4 linked regions of the Daphnia pulex genome follow. The protein of the gene in region 2 interacts with the protein of the main gene of each other region in a biochemical or structural test. Links are inferred from orthologs where the notes say so. Each region holds a gene or a part of one and is shown on either strand. Other genes may lie near its edges.

Region 1 (4,757 bases), on a different chromosome or scaffold from region 2:
TTGTTGTTGTAAAGAGAAACAAGCCATTCCAAACCTTTCACCTGATACTCTGTAAAATAGAAGAAACAAAAAGCATTAAACATATTGCATCACACTTGTTACAGACAAATGTCGCATAGTCACCTTTCAATTTGCCATTGATCAAAATGCTAGCCTGTCCGTGAACTTTTTCGTGTACGGTATGGGCAATCGAATAGTAATTCTTTTCTCCGTCATCGGTCTTGTATTCGTCATCTAGCGCCGTTTTTACGACCACAACAGTTGCTTCGTCGGCAGTTTTGGATTCGTCGGTTACAGCTTTCTTTGCCTCTTCCGGTCGTTCTTCTTCAATATGTTGCTCTTCATCCTCAATTAATTCTTCCCAGCCAGGATGAGCTTCCAACCAGGTCTTAATAATGAAAATAAAATTATCACAAAAACGTCACAATGAAAATTCTTTGGAATAGTAATAATTACTTGGAGAACTGAAGCAAGTGGCGCTTCCTCGCCGGTAAGCGTGTTCCCAGAAGCCGTTTCAATAACGCTCACATGGAAATCCTCCACAACTGTTCCATCATCATTCCGCTGCACACGTCTTTTGATCATCTGCTGCTCTTTCATTTTTCGCCGTTGCTCAGTTTTATGCAGCTTCACCATCTCCGTCAAATTGGCAATGTATTCGTCCGTTTGTTGAAGAAGGAATGCAAGACGTTTGTCTTTTTTCTGATCGATAAGCTTACGGTAACCTTCTTCATCTTCCGCCATCAAGCGACGCATACGCTCTTTTTCAATACGCTCCTGTTCCTTCTTCTGTTCACGTTCTGCATTAGCATGATGTAGTAGGACAGCTTTGTTGATGCGCACAATTTTCGCCTAAAAAGTTAAAATTTTAAAATAAGCTTTCTTATCACCAAAGTATCTGGTATAATTATTTACCAGGTTGTTACGATGAAACTCTTTAAGATCTTTGCCGTGTTGAAGGACCGCAGTAAGATATTCTTGGTGCTTCTGACGGCGTCGGCGCTCAGCTTCCATTTTCTGTTGTTTCTCAAGCTTCTCAGTTGCTCGAGCTTCTCGTAGTCCTTGTTTCTTTGTCCGCTTATAAGCTTTAACGTTGACAGCTGTTTCTAACGTGGTGTCTCTTCTCGTACAAGCTAACACTTCTGAACGCAACTGCCGTTGGAAATTAAGTAATCGCAGAGCACGTAATTCAATTTGCGCCTTAATTCGCAAATCCTCTCCCATTGTAGTAGGTAGATTACTAAGTTCTTCAATACGGTAGGCAACGCGCGTAGCCATGCGATTTTCTCTTTCCTGTTAAAATAAATAAATATATATAATGTTAAGGTTATATTACTTCGAATAGATTACACATACCTGCAAAATTACAACTGGATCTAATCCTGCTGGTTTGGCAATTGGGGTAACTTTGTTTTGTTTAGACACAAGTGTTTGTTGCTGCAGTTGCTGTGGTTGTATCTGCTGTGAATGTGGCATCACGGGTTGTTGTTGCATGAGTGAGGCATTAGAAGTGGGCACAGCTGGTGGTGCTATGATGGGCTGCAATGCAGCATTACCCATTTGAATTGCAGTAGGGGCAGTAGCCCCTTGGGATGGTTGCATCGGATGTACAGGGACCTACAATTTAAGTACAAGTAGCATTTATAACCATTCTAAAACAAATGACATTTTAGAAAATCTACCTGTGGCTGAGGGGGACGAGGAGTCGGTATGGTACCAGGAACTGGACTTGCAGTAGTTCCCGGAGTTGGAGTTCCTGCCGATGGTGGTGGCCCCATAGAAGGTAGCTGAGACTGCTGTCCGCTCGGTGATGGTGCCACAGGTTGCTGAGAAGAGTATGGAGGCCCAATAGGCCGTACGCTAGAAGGTTGCATCGGAGTAGGAGCCGAAGGAGCTGTAGGTCTCTGGAAAGACTGTCCAGGCTGAGACGGAGACGGAACATATATTTGCTGTTGTTGTTGATCCAGCTGTGATACAGTATTAGGCTGCGACTGAAGTGTCGGAAGGTCCGTCCGTTTCCCTTGGGCAGCCATTCCAATATTTGTTGGCACAGGTTGGTTTCGAGCCAACAACCGGTAAGCCATAATTTGCGCTCGTAGCTGGTGGACTTGTGTAGGTGATAGGAATGACGATTTCATAGAATTGGCCCCTTCCGGTCCAGAAGAATTGCCATTAAGGGTCGCTGGATTGGGCGGCCCATACTGCGATGGCACACCAGGTTGTCTAAATATTGGTAATGGATCAGTTACACATTGTTCAGATATATTTTGATCGCAATTCAAGTTACCTGTTAGGATCCATAAGTGGTGGACCAGGACTGTGGCTAGTAGGAGCCATTCCCTCTTGTTTTCCTCTCATGGCAAGAAGAGTAGCATAGCGAGGATCATTCTGCAAGCCGCGGTCTTCCATTGTAGATATAGCTCTTTGCAAAGCATTGATACTGTCAGGTGGATAAGGTGGTGCTCCTGGTTGCTGTTGGGATTGTTGAGGCATTGGTCCACCAGGCTGTGATGGATAATTTGGTTGCTGTGGAGGTTGGTGGTGTGAACCTGGAGGATAGCCACCACTTGCTCCCATATAATGAGGCTGTGGAACTCCACCATGATGCTGCCTTATTGGTTGCTGCATAGGTTGATGAGGAGGCCCCATCGAAACTGCTCCTGACATGGGTGGTGGATAAGTTTGCTGCTGAGGTTGTTGTTGAAACTGGGGAGGGTGTTGCTGCATTGGTGGACCCATGGGTGATGGAGATGGTTGAGGATGGTTCATTGGAGAAGGTGGTTGCGGAGGTGCCATAGGAGAAGCAACTTGCTGTTGTTGATTTCCAGCATTTGAATTTGGATGTGAATGTGGTGCTGGAGATGCAGCAGGATGAGACAAAGGTGATGGCTGAGGTGTTCCAGGCCCTGGCCCAGGTGAAGTCATCATCGAAGAAGGTGGTTCTCCAGATGACATATTTCACAGCCTAAGACACAAAGTAAACAACGGAAAAAATTTTACTAACACAAAATTCAACACAAAAAAGATTTCACATGCACTAATAATATAGAAGAGATAAACATCTACTGAATTTATAAACTTTCATTTACTTCCAAGAGTTTACTTAAAATATGTTGAAGCATCAAATAAAAATGAAAAAAATGTTTGCAAGGGGATGAAAGGAATTGTTCTTTAGATTCATTGCCGGTGAAGTTCGTGACAAGTAATTTTACGAATATATCTTCAGATAATGAAAGTTTAAAAATATAAAGTGTATAATCAATTACACCATTATGGTTGTTAACTCACGTTTCAATAATTGCTTTGCCCTTTATTAGTTTATGTTTGGGAATTCCCTTTCAGAACGAATAATATAGAAAATTATGGCGTTGCGTTGCTTGGCGTTGCTTGGTTCGCCCTCCGTGGGGGTGTGGTGAACTATGTAGTACGAACCTTGAAGATTTTTCTGGAAACAGTTGCCACATGGGATGACAAGCCACAATAAATTTAACGTTTATTTAAATATAATTTCTTATTTTTAGTGAAATCCGTCTTCTCAATAAATTTACCTAAAATTAGATTCCAAAAAATTCATTTACAGACAAGCCAAACGTTAGTGGCATTGGTGTACTCGTGTCATTTGTTTGCATTCTAGCAGACGAAAATCATTATTTTCAATTTCTCACGACTCACGTGTTAAGACGTTCAGTTCAACAAATTTTCCGGAAAGATTGATGATAATAAAACGTTATATTATAATTAACAACGAACTGAAGTACAGTACTTAAAACCGCAGCTTAGTAGCGTGATACAATCGACAATGTCGTTTATATCTGAAAAGCCATTGAATAAAAAAATTATCTTCGACGAACATGTTGAAGAAAGTGATACCATGGTTGATTTGTCTCTTAGCAATGAACAGCAGTCAGAGTCAGCAAAACCCCTGCTCAGGTATGAAAAATAAGCATTGCCATTCATATTATTGTTTTTAAAAATTTTCATATTTTTTAGAAACAAAGCATTCATCCAATTTGATTCAAATCTCTCGAGCCATGATAATAAGTTTCAGAAAGTAACAAAGAGCAACACAGATAAGCCATTTAAAAAAGGCAAGATGGATTTTGAGCAACAGTCTCTACCAGAAGTATCTTCTGAACGTTATTACCAGACAACAGAAGCTCTAGGTATATGAAATGTATTTATGATTTATTGGTATAATGCATATGTTTACACTAATTCATTGTAATCTAGATATTGGCAAAGGTAGTGAGTTCTCTCTACGAACCCTCTTTCAGGAGAGCAATCTTGCAGTAGAACCAGAAGAAGAACCAATTAGTTTGCCACCAAAACTATTTGCCCAGAAAGACCCTAAACTTTTGTTTAAGCCAGAAACAGTGAGCAATGTTGAGCATCAAGGCTATTGGAAAAATGCCGGTATGTGGACGGAACCACTTTTTTTCCACGCTGGAGACAACCGTTTAAAAGGTTTTTATAAATTTAAAACTTATTGTTAGATTTGACAACTATTGTGAACTCAATAATAGTGCATACATTTTGTCTGTTCATAGAGGTTACAGATTTTATCTACCAGCCAGCAAAGGAAGAAGCGTACCGTGACCGAAATAAGTGGTTTGAGCAGCGAGAAAAACTCAAACAATATTATCGTAACAAGATGCGACGTAATGCAATGTGGGTAGCAGGAACTGCACAACAGTCGCAGAAAAAGCGACCACTTGCAGATGGGACAGACGAGTCTTCATTCCAATATTTTGGTCAGC
Region 2 (4,864 bases):
CCTGTTCCAGTCGATACACACAGTCCTGAACTTTTGACTTTAGTACGCTCACTTCCATCCACTGCAAGCTCATAGTAAGACACTCGAGCGGAGAGAGCTTCGCCTATAAATACCTGTACAAGTAAAACGAAAATTTAAAGTTAGTTTTGATTTGATTGAAATAGTGTTTTCAAATTTTATACTGTACTTCGTTGAGAGCTTTCACAGGCAAAATTCGTTTGTTCTTTATGCTTTCTTCTGACTTAGGGACCTCGTCACGGTACTCGGAAATCTCTAAAAATCGGTTTTCTAATTGATTAAGCTGCTGATCATGCAGCTCAACAGGTACATCATAAATTTTATCGCCAATGAGTGTCACGCGGATACGCTTGCGAAAAAGCCAACGGAACTTTCCCTATGAACAACAAAATTTACTATTTGTTTGGAAGAGATAAAAAGGACGAGGAATTAACCTGAAGTAGCTTGTCAATGGCATTCTTGATGTTATTAGAGTATTTCTTCGGGAGGCAGAGGTAGCCTTCGGATCTTGTAGGATCGCTATTAAAACCAATTATCGTCTTCGTAGGATCGTGGATTTTACTTGCACCAAGTAAAAATGTACCATCTCCTCCAGCAGTAAAGATAACATCAGCCCAGTTAATGTTACTTTCATTGTAATCAAAGCGAGTCACAACTTTTGTTTCAATGTTCTTTTGCTCCAAGATACTCTTCACCATGGCTTCACAGTTTTTATGGAGAGTATGATGGTAGAGTAACATATCTAAAGAGAATAAACACTATAAGTATGTATTAAATTAACAACTAAAGTAAAGAAAGAATTACTGTAATCAGATCCTCGCTTTCGTAAGGCGTGCTCCAATTGATTTTCATCAAGATTCTTGTGCCTGAGCTTCTCAAATTCATAGCGAGATAGTTTTGTCAATACCAAGGCTTTTTTTGGAGAAAATGTGGATGCCTCTGATGGGCTCCAACTTCCTACTGAGTTTCTTGACTGGAAAAATTAATAAAAAATGTAGGTTTAAAAAAATTTTCAGAATGAAGTTGGTGTATCCCTACTAGTTTTCTGTACAGCTGTAAATTTCCTATGAAGGATAAGCTCCTTGTCGGCGAACCTTGAGATGCGATTTTTCTCAGAAACATAGCAGCACAACCGTATGGGTCACCGGAAAAATGGTCAGTAAGAGAAAGAAAAATACGTGTCAATCAGTCACGTTATATTTCTATAATATTATCTCTGCCATATTATCAGTTCACCAATAATCTGTTACGTGATTTCAAAACATTGGTTTGGGAACCATCGTACGCAGAAAAACTGAAATAGCCTAGCAGACAAAAAATTATTTCAACTTCCTAACGATAGATGGCTCTGTATAAATAGTGACGGCGTTTGAAACTAAACGACTTCCCTCCCTTGAATGTGAAAGAAGACGCATCAAAAGCATCATCAAAGATGGCTTTCGCACCGAAAAAAGACGGAGGACCAAATTTAAAATTCTACGAGTCTCACGAAACTTTGTTGCTTTTCGAAGGAGTAAAAGCATGGCTTTCAAAAAATTGCAAAAAGGTAAATATTCACCGGCAGCAATCACCGTTTGTCATGTTAATTCTTCGCTGTCATTTGACCGGTTCATTCCCTCTTGTTTCAGTATGTTCAAACAGACCCTCCAACAGCCAAAAGTCTTTCAACTTCCATTACTCAAGTTATCCAGTTTCAAGAAGATACTTATGGCAAAAATGTGGCTAAACCACCTTTGACAAGGATTCCTACAAAATGCTTCCTAGACTTCAGGCCTAATGGCGGCATCTGCCAGATTTTGGCTACTGTTTACAAGTATGTAACTCTTTATTTGTAGCATGCTTCAGTGTTATTGACATTTTTCATATTGATCTTTATAATAGGTATCGTACTGACCATGGATGGAGGCGCATGGATTTTGCTTCTCCTTCCAGAATGGAACGCCACATTGAAATGATGGTTGCGATAGAGAAAGCACTGATTCAAGCCAAATGTCTTGTTCAGCCTAATATTTACATCATGCCAGATGTTGATAAAGGACTTGTCGGTAAGTGCTGTTGTCATATAATAATGCAGTGTTAACAGTTTCATGACCTTTGAATGTCTCACTAGGTAAACTGAAAGAAATTGTCAAAAGGCATCAAGGGTTAATCGCAGAGACTGAAGCTGAAGCAACACATCTTGTTCATTCGGCTGCTGATCCACTCGAAGAAGAGTACGCCCGTCCACTGTTTCGTCGCGATCGCAACACTTTGCTTCATTGGTATACCTCAGTTAAAGCAACAGTTCTGAACCCATGAATATACAACGTGTCATGTCTTAGGTATTACTTCCCAGACTCGTACGACAAGTGGGATACGATCGAATTACCTGTCGATCCTCCAGAGCTCTCAGACTATCTCGAATCTTTGAATGAACCTCACAAAACCTACCGAGTTGCCGCCAACTGGTTGCTGGATTTAGATCAATACAACGAGTGGATGAATGAAGAGGATTACGAAGTCGATGCTAGTGGAAAGAAAAAAGTGCACAAGCTTCGATTGTCCGTTGAGGATTTGATGAGTGGCGGTGACAGTAAACAAAAAGGGAAAACTCCTTCCACTTTGAAACGGAGAAGGTCTCCTTCACCGGCTGGCAGTGGATCGACTAAAGCCGCTGCAACTCCCACAACTGCTGGTGGTGCTGGAAACAAGCGCAAGAGTGTCCGTCCTGCCTTGGGCAAAAAATTCAAAGGTGGCGAAGAGGACAGCGACGATCTTACACGAGACATGGACGATCCTCCCTCAGACACTAATCTCCGCGAAGTCGAAGTGCCAAAGACTCATCCCGTTCCGGGCGGACCTCCTCCAACGGCTATTAAGAAAGATGCCGATTGGATGCCCACTAAAGGTATTATAGATTATTTATTCTTTTGTTAATTGTAGTGTCATTGTTGTATTTTTGATTGAAATTAGGAGCTGCATTGACTGATTTAGATGAAGAAGGTGAAAAGTTGGCAGATATCACATTAGTCACACCACAAGACGATCCGCACGGGCAGCAGGTACTGCTACAACAGGTTATTATTTGGTCGGAAATTTCCAGAACTGTTTCGAGTAACCAGCCGTGTTATTTATTCACCTCCCCCATTTTAGCATGACGATAATGTCACCGACCAAACTCACCACATCATCATTCCCAGCTACGCTGCCTGGTTTGATTACAATTCGATTCACTCGATCGAACGTCGCGCCTTGCCCGAATTTTTCAATGGCAAAAACCGTTCAAAGACTCCAGAGGTAAAATGAAATTTTGGTTTTTCTTTTGTTCAAGTCATACCCATTTGGTCTTTTATTTTCAGGTTTATTTGGCGTATCGTAATTTTATGATCGACACCTATCGCTTGAATCCTACCGAATATTTGACCAGCACTGCGTGTCGACGCAATTTGGCCGGTGACGTTTGCGCCATTATGCGCGTTCACGCCTTTTTGGAGCAGTGGGGACTCGTCAATTACCAGGTGGATGGGGATTCACGCCCGATGCCTGTCGGCCCACCACCCACATCGCACTTTCACATCCTCTCTGACACGCCGTCAGGTCTGCAGCCCGTCAATCCTCCTCGGACAACGCAGCCATCAGCGGCCAAGACTCTGATCGACATGGATAAGAAGACGGCAGCTCGCCAATCCGAAACAGCTCCCGTGGCCAATAATTTCGGCCTGAAACTGGACCAATACAGCCGTAAGAGCTCGTCCGTGTTGAAGAACAAGGCAACCAGAGAGTGGACGGAACAGGAGACGCTGCTCCTGCTCGAGGGTTTGGAACTGTACAAGGACGATTGGAACAAAGTCTGCGAACACGTTGGAACTCGCACCCAGGATGAATGTATTCTCCACTTTCTTCGCCTTCCTATCGAGGATCCATTTTTTGAAGACGTTGAATTGGGTGGCGGCGGAGCTGTTGGACCTTTGGCCTATCAGCCCATTCCGTTCAGCCAGGCCGGCAACCCCATCATGTCGACGGTGGCGTTTTTGGCATCAGTTGTGGATCCACGAGTTGCTGCCGCTGCTGCCAAAGCTGCGATGGAAGAATTCGCCAAGATCAAGGACGAAGTTCCATCGGCCCTGCTGGAAACGCACTTGAAGAACGTCGAAAATGCTCTGAGCGAAGGCAAATCGGACGCCTCGGTGGCCGCTTTGGCCCAATCTGGAATTGCTGGAACAGTTCAAGACAAGGAGGAGGCCGAGAGGGAGAAGGAGAAAGCGGACAAATTGGCCGAAGAGAAGGAAGCCTTGGAGAAGAGCGAAGAGAAGAAGGAGGCTGATAAAAAGGTGGAAGAAAAGAAAGAAGCAGAGAAGAAGGAAGGTGAGAAAGAGGAGTCGACTAGCGCTGAAGGCAGCAAGGAGCCAGAGAAAGAAAAGACGGCCACTGAAAGTGAGGAAGACAAAGCTGAGAAGATGGACGTGGACAACGCGACCGTCAAAGACGCCAAGGAAGACGGTGAAGGAGCCAAAGAATCGGCTGCAAAGGAATCTGAAACTAAGGAGCCCGAAATCAAGGAGGAGAAGATGGACGTTGACGAAACCAAGAAAGACAAGGAAACCACCGAAGAAGACAAGGAGAAATCCGCCGAGGCTGCAGCCGCTCTGGCCGCCGCAAATGAGAAACAGAAATTGGTCAAAGACGCTCAGTTGCAAGCGGCTGCTGCGGCTTCGCTTTCCGCGGCTGCCGTCAAGGCACGCCACCTGGCCGCGGCCGAGGAACGTAAAATCAAATCTCTGGTTGCCCTTTTGGTCGAGACGCAAATGAAGAAATTGGAAATCAAATTGAGGCATTTTGAAGAACTCGAAGCCATGATGGATCGCGA
Region 3 (5,058 bases), about 7.3 Mb from region 2:
CGGCCATCGCTGAATCCATACAAGGCCCCAGCAGGTTCTTACCAAAATGACCAGGATCCTCAGAAAATATGGGAAATGTTATTGGAGCAATTCCCAGCGCTGATTGGACTGCCCGGTCCTCCTGGACCCGAAGGAGAATCATTTTACGGCAGCAGCCAATACGAACTTATTCCTGGTCCACCTGGAAATCCTGGCGAGAGAGGGCCGGACGGGCCAAAAGGTGACGATGGAATTGCAGGTGCTCCTGGTGCTCCTGGAGGACCCGGTCCAAAAGGAAAATTGGGCAACCCAGGCGCTCCTGGAACCAAAGGAGAGAGGGGTGATCCAGGTAATACGGGAGCTGCTGGCGATCCTGGAGCCCCAGGAATGAAGGGCGAGAGCGGAGATCCTGGATTTAATGGCGAACCTGGCCTAGCTGGAGCACCTGGAAATCCAGGAAAAGACGGATTCCCAGGGGAATCAGGAGTCCAGGGACCGAAAGGTGACATTGGAGCGCCAGGATTGACTCTTCCATCCAAGGTCGCAGGACCCCCCGGTTTATCTGGAATGCCCGGGAAAGATGGAGCTCCAGGCAATACTGGCCCAGTTGGATCAATCGGTCCACAAGGACCAATTGGATTGGAAGGTAATCCAGGCAAACCTGGTTTGAATGGTGTTCCCGGTGGGCCTGGACCAAAGGGCGACAACGGATTCAATGGCAATCCTGGAGCACCTGGTAAAGACGGTTTGCCCGGTGGACCTAGCGACGTTGTTGGACCCATTGGGCCAGAAGGAGAACGTGGAACGCCAGGAGACCCCGGGTCACCTGGCAAAGAGGGCCTCACTGGCGCACCTGGTGAGCCTGGAAAAGACGGATCGCCCGGCGCTCCTGGTCAAACAGGTATACAATTTTGTTTCTTAATTAACTGCTCGTTTTAATGACTTGATTGCATCAAACAAATGAATATTGGACTTATTATAGGCGCTCCAGGTGAGGAAGGCAAATCAGGCAAGGATGGTGAACCTGGTCCGACGGGAACACCCGGCAATCCTGGTGGAATAGGTCCGAAAGGTCCAAAAGGTAAACCTGGCCCTAATGGCTCTCCTGGTCTTCCTGGAGATATTGGACCCATTGGTCCTGTCGGTCCAGAAGGCAAACCAGGTAATGAGGGAGCTCCTGGTTATCCTGGAAAACCTGGACCAGCTGGCGGAGTTGGTCCTCAAGGAAAAAAAGGTGATAATGGCTACCCTGGAAAAACCGGAGCAGTTGGGCCTGTCGGGCCTCGCGGAAAACCAGGCACAGCCAGCAGCTATGGTTCAGGAAGACCCTATGGTAGACCCAGCTCTAGACCCAGCTCTTCGTTCTCTGACTTCTTTGGATCTTTCTGGTCCGACGAACCTCAAAGTAATAAGCCGGCCAGCTCGTCATTCTACCCAAGTGGGCCTGCTTCAGAATATTCAGGACAGTCTTACCAAAACAATAATCTACCACCTGCATATCCAGGCTACGTACGAGTAGTGTGGTGATTATTCTCATCAATCACACCAGCCCCCATTCCAAGCATAATCAGCATGAAACATTTTTTGTTTCCTATTTATCTTTCTAATAATTAATTACAAAATTATAGTAAAAAGAAAATTTACCTTACATTGAAACAAGCCAATGTAATATACGGAATCTGTGGATATTTACTATTTCGTGACTGTAAACTAAGAAAAATAAACTCCAAAAGGGAAATGATTAATAAACAATACACATATGTTAAATTGAAAGTTTAAATTTATCTGAATCTCAGAAGTCTAATTCGTATTTTTCAAAAGAAAATTTCTCGTAATTGAAAACTAGCCATCTCCCGCCCAATATATACAACAGAGTGAGAAGAGGCTTCAAAAATGTGACAGACCACTACTACCTACTGAGTAACGACGCTTTGGTTTGTTGTTTTCAATCGAGGGAAATCTATTAGTTGGTACTTTTTTGTGCTCCGTTTTACAAAGGAAAATTACTCAGATTGGTCGGAATTCACAACGCGGATAAGTTTCGGATAATACTAAAATGGCGCTGCCACAGAATTATCGCCAAAACGCCATGGCCTCACCAGCTCCGATTCCAAGTACCGGTTCATCTCGTATGTTCTATCGATGTTCCTAAGTTTGATTCAGTTGCGTGCACCACGTTATTTTTAGTTTTCTTTTCTAGATTCATTTTTGTTGTTGTTTGTTTACTTTTTTATTTGCACCCGACTTTTATTTCGTTAGACTTAGATGTTGGCTTGTTATGTAGTTCCTTAGTTTTTTTTTCACGTTTTCTCTAATGCTTCAGATGCCATGAATCACAACCATGGAATGCCTGTATCATTTAACATTCTAAAAGGTACCCTTTTGTGTTGACCCGAAAAAAATTATTATTTATTTCCTTCGAGCTGCACCAATGTTCTTGTATAACTAACGTTTTCTATGTCTGATGCAGAACGGTTAAGGGCATCTGGCTCCCAGGGAATGTCGGTAAGTGGTCCATAGTCTAAGGGGGAAAAAATTATTTGTAGCTAATGCACCAATACTTTTAAAAATTCTAGAAAGATGCGAGCAACCAGAATCCTTTTGTCATGAATCCTCATGGACATCCCCAGTTCAACCCCCAAAAACTTGGGACCAAATTCGCAGTGGTACTCGATTCACCATTTTCATCATAACCGATATCTTTACTGAACCCTTCTTTGCTTGTTTAGAGTGGCAGCAACACCTTGAAACCGCCTAAAGCACCTGAGAAACCATTGATGCCCTACATGAGATATTCTCGTAAAGTTTGGGATGAAGTCAAGGCAGCCAATCAAGAGCTGAAGCTCTGGGAGATTGGTAAAATCATTGGCCAAATGTGGCGAGATCTGCCCGACGGCGACAAGCAAGAATTTGTCGAAGAGTACGAAACGGAAAAGGTCGAATACGAACGCACTCTAAAAGCCTACCACAATTCCCCAGCTTATCAGGTAATTCATTCTAGCAAAATTAAAACTAAAATGTTTGAAACTATCATCACAATTCGTTTAGGCATACATCACTGCCAAGAGCAAAGCTCAACAGGGAGCAGATGAGAAGGAATCTGCCAGCGAACGAGGCATGTCGGCCAAAGCAGCTTTCAACGACAGGTTTGACTTTTAATCTTTATGCTATTCCAAAATTGACATGACTAAAATTTTACTTATTTAAAAAAATATAGACGCATTGAAATCCAACCGGCAGAGGATGAAGAAGACATTGACGACGGCATGTCAGTCAAGCACGTGGCCCACGCCCGCTACGTCCGAAATCACCGATTAGTGCACGAAATCTTCTCGGACGTGGTGGTGCCGGACGTTCGTTCGGTCGTCACCACAGCTCGCATGCAGGTGCTCAAGAGACAGGTGCACTCGTTGACGATGCACCAGAAAAAGTTGGAGACGGAATTGCAGCAGATCGAAGAGAAATTCGATTCCAAGAAGCGCAAATTTGTCGAATCGAGTTCCGTCTTCCAGGACGATCTGGTGCGCACGTGTCGCAAGCCCATCGACGAAGAGACTTTCCAGTCCATGGTCGAACAGCAGACGGAAATCATCAAGAAGGAACGTGAGAGGGAAAGAGAACGTCAAGCCGAACTGATGCGCGAAGTATTTTCATCAATTATAAACTCAAAATGTTGTAGATTTTTAATTTGGAATTTTTTAATTTGATAGCGTGAAGCTGCTGCTGCTGTCGCTGCTTTGCAGGCTGAAAAGGAAGCAGCTATTGCCGCGGCCGCTGCGGCGGCAGCTGCTGCTGCCGCTCCACCTCCGTCTGCTCCGGTGGAACCGATGGAAACGGAAGACTCGGTCGTCGTGAAAGAAGAGCCCAAGAAGGAAGTGGTGGCTCCAGTGGCTGCTCCTTTGACAGCCAAGACGGAAGAACCCGTTGTCACTCCGGTAGTGAGCCAGGAGCCGTCGTCACTTGCTCCTGTCCCGATGGAAACGGAAGAAACGAAGCCCACCGTCCCTGAGACTTTCAAAGTCGAAGAAATTAGACGTGAAGAGCCATTAGCTGCCGTTAATGTTCCTCCGCCAACCCCTGCGATTGAAACTCCACCAGTTCAAACTGCTCCTTCAGTTGAAGTCGCTCCTACGACTACAGTTGAGCCAATTCCCATTGCTCCTCCTGTAATTGAATCTGCTCCAGTGGCCGAGGCTGCTCCTATTATCCAAGCAACTCCGGTTGTCGAAACGACCTCAGTCATCCAACCGACTGTCGCAGCTGCTCCAGTTGTCGAGGCCCTTCCAGTTGTTGCACCAATGCCAGCCGAATCCTATGTGACCCACAATCCTGTGACTGAAGCTCCTCCAGCGATTGTATCTGAATCTTTGCCTGTCGCTCCGGTGGTAGAAACCCCTCGCCAACCAACTCCTCCTGTACCATCGACTGAACAGGCACCTCATCATTCGTTCGAAGCCCAGCCACCACCGGCTCCAGAGACCCCCTCAGTTGAAAACGTCACTGCTGAGCAACCTCCTGCAGTTGCAGCCGAAATTCCAGCACCCGCCGAACCATCTCCATCCGTTGAAACCCCTTCGATCGCAGCTGAGCAACCAGTCAGTGCTCCTAGCGAACCTGCAGTCGAAGAACCGTCTGTCAAACCAGAATTGGTGGCAGAGAAGAAAGAAGACGAGGTGCCCACCATCTCAGAGCCTACTCCCCCGGAAGAACTACCCGTGCCACCAGCAACGACAACCGCACAACCAGAGGAAGAGAAGCCACATCCTGAAGTTGGTCAGACTCCAGATCCCCAAGCGCTTCCTCCCAGTACTACTGAAGCTTGATTTTTTCTAAATGAACGCCACAATTTAAAACTAAACTTCATTTTTACCCCCCGCGATCTTGAGATATTGTTAGCATCCTGCGCATGGAGTCCAAAATAAACAATACACTTTGGAACAAGATTGCAAAATCGAAAAGAACAATATTTCTATTCAGTAATTCATGATAGTATTTACACACTTTTTAATTAAGGATTTCATGATTGCAATAAATCAAATCAACATATGAGTTGGATATTTAAAAAAAGGGGGAATGTCT
Region 4 (4,780 bases), on a different chromosome or scaffold from region 2:
CTTATTATTTACTGAATAATGCAATGCGCCGCTGTCAGGATGTGAGTCGGAGACATCACGAATCACGATCTACGTTCCACCACAGAATCGAATTGACGGCCGTTGTTCTTCCGTGTCATCTGTAGATAAATTAGAACTAGAATATTTTTTCACCGGCTACAGAGAACGAATTTTGATGAATTCTCTCTAAACACTCACGCAACACGACGGAACTCCACTGTGTAATTCAATCAACAAGCTATCTAATGAAAAGCGCAAATAAAGATACTTGGCGAATCAGATCAATTTATCAGTTTCCTACTACAACAATTTCTTCATCGAAGGAATATTGAACCGATCCCATGACCCCAATACTTATCGATTACTCAACAGTCCCTTGATAGTTTATAGTTTATTTGTTTTGAATGGGTCGGGCGTTCGAGCACAGTAGAAAAACCAGACTGATATTAATGCATCAATTACTACGAGTTTAGTAAAAATGTGTTCACCCATGGCATCATATGACTATTCTAAAATTATCAGATAGATCAGATGAGCCCTGCACTGCCTAAAATTTCCTTCTTAAATTTAAGCGAATTTAAGTTAAGGAAAAAGCGCTACCTAGATTTGGGACACACGGTAAAAATTGAAAAGCATAAACACAAAAACAAACAAACAAAAAAATTTAAAAAAAATAAAAATCGAGAGGTCTGAATCTCTTTACTTGCGTGGGTGGCAAACAATAGTAATGATGAAGTATTATTTTAAGACACCATGTATTTAGACCCAAATTAGGATTCACGATACTCGAAGAAAGTTAAAAGTTTCCTTGTTATTTTACCAGTCTGCAAATGCACGATAAGTAACTCGGGATTTTTCTTTTAATCTGCTGTCACTTGGTCACAGTTGGCTTACATAAACGATGTCCAACCAAAAGTTGTTTTCCTTAGTAGTAACATTCTAATTGTTACGAATGCCTAATGCCTGTTCCAATTCGGCACGCTTTTGTTGAACTTTGCTGTAAAAATATCGGCAAACGGCTTCTTGGGTCCAGCTTTGCTCGTAAAACTCTCCACGTCGCTCCTCTTCGGGATTTCCTACGATGTCAGTCATAGTCTGAAAACAAAAAACAAAACAAAAACACATCGTTTAAATTTATCCAACACATTTTTGTAAATTTTTTTATTTAGCTTTTTACCTTCAAATCCCTTGTTTGAGATAAGAGCCATTTGTTTATGAATTGCTGCGGATCTCGGGCAAATCCAAGGAAAAATTCTCGACTGATCTTCAGTTGATTAATGCTTTCAACCGTTTCGTGGATCTTGTTGTCTAAGCTCTACATCCACAAATTAAAAATTAGATATATCTTAACATGCCAAAGTAATTGACAGGAAGAAAAAAAAAACCTGAATTTCTTGCTGGCTTGCAGTAGAAAGCAAAAAATTATTCATCTGGGCTTTCAATGTATCATCAACTTCTACATCAATGTCATAGCAGGCAGTTTTTTTCTGATCTGCACTCTCCACACTGCTGTTGAAAGAAAAAAGTTATAAAATTAATATAAAATGGAAAATGGTCTCTTCTTTAATTTCTAAGTACCTTATCAAATGGTTGATAACAATTGGATCAGGGGGATGTAAGAGAGGATTCAATCTTTGTGGAATTTCAGCAAATTTCATTCTAGGACATCCAAATATTTGTTCCATATATTTGTCACAACGAATGAATTCTCTTTCTTGGTGATCCTAAGGTAGTAAGGAAGTAGAAAAAAAATTAGATTATTCTTGACACATGGCTTGTAACAGCTATGAATAATACCTGAAGTTTGTGAGTTTTAATGTACTGCCACAATGCAGAGATTACCATGGGTCTTGTTTGAGTGTGAATGCCAAGAAGACGAGCCAAACGCGAGTCGAGACGAAATTGCAGCGGTTGATAGTCGAGCAAAAGTAAGATGGTACACCGTACATTTCGATCTCCTGGTCGTTTTACTTGAAACCCATCCGTTTCTTGAGTAGTAGACGTTCGATGCCATTCCACAAGGTGGTTATCAGGCCCATACAAGTCTTTATCAAGCTCAATGACGAGAGATTTGAAAAACGAAGAAAACTTCCGTTTGACTTTATTGGGATCTGATTTGGCAGCATCATCCAGAAGTCGTCCTTCTACTCTCAGTTCCCAAGAAGCAACCCCGCTTCCTCCGCCAACATCTTCAGTATTATCCATTTCTCTAGCAGGGTAGAATGTGTTTGAGATGAAAATACGCAATTTTCGTTTTTGTTTCATGGGTCTTTTCAAAGCTTCCTGAAACGAAAGTATTAAAAGTATTACTGACACGTGTAAAAGAAATCTTTACTTCAACTTACTTGAATATCGAGACGTTTTCTCATAATAGTAGCATCCAATTTTCTTTCAAATGCCAATAAATCCATGTAAGCTTGAGATTCAGGAACCAAATCTCGAACTTTCTGTGGAAGAATCTTGTCTGCAAGCTTTTTCTTTTTCTTTGCACTGTTAGGGCCATATTCACTACATATAAACCATTAATACTTGGATGTTAAGGACACAAAGAAATAATCTGATTTCTTACAGTTTTCCTGTTTGATTAGGGGCTCTCATGTCACCAGGTCTCTTCCCTGGTCCCAAAGCTTGGGGGCTCATTCCGGGACCACCAGGCCTTACAGGCTGTCCACTATAGGAATTTGGAGGTGTTGGATTCCCAATCATGTTTGGTCTTTGACCCATCATTGTAGGACTTGCTGAAGAAGTAGAGTTTGGAGGGTTTTGAATTTGATTGAATGCCGGGCGCTATGATAAAATGAAAGTTGAATGACATCAAGGTTTGGTACTGTAAAATTGAAGACAACAGAAACTATACTTACAGGGTAATTTGGAGAGTTGAACCGCATAGAACTCCCCGGAGAAGGAAAGGGAGGTCTTCCTGTAGCTGCGTTCGTATTTTGCATTTTATAAAACCGTCAAAACGGCGATCGACACAATACACACCAAAAATTAAGATATACTTTTTCTTCGATTATTTACTTATTTAATTCTTAGTGTTCTTTTGCTTTTTTACGGATGAGATGAACGGTCGAACCTGCCGTTTGAAGCTTTGATTCGCCATCTGTTGACCGCGTCTATAAACCTCCCTCAACACCACGTAGCGGCCAAAAAGCATACAATTCAAGGTTTTTTTGTTTCTATAAAATGTACAAAAATTCAGCTTGGAATCTCTTGGAATGTTCAGAGGGTGCGGGTTGCGCGAACGAACTTGATATTATTTATTTTCCATTCCCATTATTCATTAATTTTCAGACCTAATTTCTTATTTTACGGTAGTGCACTCAGATAATATTCGATTATTTGCAAAAATACAAAATAGTAAGTAATTTTTCAATACTTGGACCAATTAAAAATCTAAGACTTAAAAGTTAGGACCAAAAGCAATCGTGGCAGTTAACAAAAACATTTTTATCGTCACAAAATATATTGCAACAGAGATAGATAGCTTGAACCGTCTTGACACTACACCCGTGGCCCCGTGCTACATCTTTCGCCTTGTCTTTCGCGTTAGTAAATTGAACCTAATTTTTACATAACACTTCAAATTTATATTGCGTATTGATACTGAACAAAAATGAAATCACCGTTTCGTGTATCCTCAAATGAACATCTTATAAGTAAATTTAACATTCTCTGAAACACGTGTTTATAATTTATATAATAAGTCAGCAGAAACCGCAAAATTAGTTGCAATAAAAAACAATACAGCAAGTTTGTATTATAATTCTGATCGATTTTTCGCTGAAGACAAGACAAGAGCATTCATTCTTTTTTAACATTTCATGGTTGAGTCATTGAGGGCAAACCGGTGATTCGGGGATCTACCATTCCATTAGTAGTTTCCAAATTTTTTAGAAGTTGCGCCATCCACTGTTTAGTTGACTTATCATCTTTAAGACATGTTGAGAAAGTGCTATCACGCAACTGATCAGGTAGGCATTGTCGCAACGCTTCACGAGCCCTAGAAAATATAGTCGAATTTTATATCAATACGAAAATTCCTTTTTGGTTTTTGCAAGTCCCTTACCTTGGATTGTCAGAAAGACGAAGATAACATCGGACAACGTGCTTCAAAAGACGAGCTGACTGTTCTTTGGCCAATGATAAAACCATTTTACCAAGTATCATTGCAACATGAGAAAAGCGCTCATAAGTTTGACAAATGTAAGCCAGACCAGTTTCATCCAAGAGAATTTTTTGAAGTATGAAAGTTGCAACAGTCTTGGACAGTTCAGATCCAGTTTCCATTATCCTCAAACACAATGGAATTATCTCTGTTGTAAGAAGAAAGTTGATAACCTCCTGTTCATCAGTTTTAACTAGAGCACCAATGACTCCCAAACTGGTCAAACGAAGATATTCAAATGGCCGTGTCTTGCTCACAGTGTGCAAAAAAGGGTAGAGGAATAATGGGATGTGAGCTTGCAGAAAAGCAGATCTGGTTTCTTGGTGTGAAGCAACACATTGCAGAAGAGCAAGAGCATTGCAAACTCTGTTGGACTGTTGAGCAGTAAGAGTAGGTGGACTTACTGCTGGATAAATGCTTACAATATCTTGCAATAGAGCTGCTATAGTTCCAAATGAATGCCACAGCATAGGAGCCAAATCAGGAACAACTTCTCTCTTTTTACTGCATGGAAGAAATGAAAAATTAATAAAAAGCTAGTGGAAGACATCATGTCTCTAATGTTTGAAACAATCGACAAACATTTGAAAATGGAACCTTATCCCTAACAAG

What was found.
Region 1: the proteins of SWI/SNF complex subunit SMARCC2-like (region 2) and ATP-dependent helicase brm-like form a complex in vitro, tested with the Drosophila melanogaster proteins (2 studies listed by BioGRID, with this or other methods). The link is inferred for Daphnia pulex from reciprocal best matches to the Drosophila melanogaster genes mor and brm.
Region 3: the proteins of SWI/SNF complex subunit SMARCC2-like (region 2) and calphotin-like form a complex in vitro, tested with the Drosophila melanogaster proteins (2 studies listed by BioGRID, with this or other methods). The link is inferred for Daphnia pulex from reciprocal best matches to the Drosophila melanogaster genes mor and Bap111.
Region 4: the proteins of SWI/SNF complex subunit SMARCC2-like (region 2) and brahma-associated protein of 60 kDa-like form a complex in vitro, tested with the Drosophila melanogaster proteins (2 studies listed by BioGRID, with this or other methods). The link is inferred for Daphnia pulex from reciprocal best matches to the Drosophila melanogaster genes mor and Bap60.

What each region holds. Positions count from the first base shown.
Region 1 is NC_060018.1:7,736,663-7,741,419, forward strand, and holds the start of ATP-dependent helicase brm-like, read right to left. Parts: upstream 3,445-4,757; 5' UTR 3,289-3,444; intron 2,966-3,288; 5' UTR 2,956-2,965; coding exon 2,288-2,955; intron 2,224-2,287; coding exon 1,683-2,223; intron 1,618-1,682; coding exon 1,357-1,617; intron 1,294-1,356; coding exon 916-1,293; intron 853-915; coding exon 457-852; intron 389-456; coding exon 124-388; intron 50-123; coding exon 1-49. Other genes in the region: uncharacterized protein LOC124205796, read left to right, coding at 3,800-3,930, 3,991-4,163, 4,231-4,464, 4,548-4,757. UniProt on the Drosophila melanogaster protein: Transcriptional regulator. Acts as a coactivator, assisting one or more dedicated transcriptional activators of ANTC and BXC homeotic gene clusters. Can counteract the repressive effect of Polycomb protein.
Region 2 is NC_060024.1:13,930,679-13,935,542, forward strand, and holds the start of SWI/SNF complex subunit SMARCC2-like, read left to right. Parts: upstream 1-1,450; coding exon 1,451-1,564; intron 1,565-1,646; coding exon 1,647-1,831; intron 1,832-1,899; coding exon 1,900-2,063; intron 2,064-2,128; coding exon 2,129-2,279; intron 2,280-2,339; coding exon 2,340-2,905; intron 2,906-2,970; coding exon 2,971-3,059; intron 3,060-3,150; coding exon 3,151-3,294; intron 3,295-3,356; coding exon 3,357-4,864. Other genes in the region: NAD kinase 2, mitochondrial-like, read right to left, coding at 1-113, 188-394, 453-760, 823-991, 1,057-1,140.
Region 3 is NC_060024.1:6,635,674-6,640,731, forward strand, and holds calphotin-like, read left to right. Parts: upstream 1-1,874; 5' UTR 1,875-2,035; coding exon 2,036-2,108; intron 2,109-2,302; coding exon 2,303-2,353; intron 2,354-2,449; coding exon 2,450-2,484; intron 2,485-2,555; coding exon 2,556-2,645; intron 2,646-2,708; coding exon 2,709-2,966; intron 2,967-3,027; coding exon 3,028-3,125; intron 3,126-3,196; coding exon 3,197-3,623; intron 3,624-3,689; coding exon 3,690-4,802; 3' UTR 4,803-4,922; downstream 4,923-5,058. Other genes in the region: collagen alpha-1(I) chain-like, read left to right, coding at 1-880, 962-1,506.
Region 4 is NC_060018.1:7,203,552-7,208,331, reverse strand, and holds brahma-associated protein of 60 kDa-like, read right to left. Parts: upstream 3,125-4,780; 5' UTR 2,946-3,124; coding exon 2,862-2,945; intron 2,788-2,861; coding exon 2,570-2,787; intron 2,509-2,569; coding exon 2,346-2,508; intron 2,284-2,345; coding exon 1,798-2,283; intron 1,725-1,797; coding exon 1,579-1,724; intron 1,510-1,578; coding exon 1,386-1,509; intron 1,316-1,385; coding exon 1,178-1,315; intron 1,096-1,177; coding exon 940-1,095; 3' UTR 739-939; downstream 1-738. Other genes in the region: CCR4-NOT transcription complex subunit 9-like, read right to left, coding at 3,823-4,003, 4,070-4,672. UniProt on the Drosophila melanogaster protein: Involved in the recruitment and site-specific anchoring of the Brahma complex at specific promoter sites.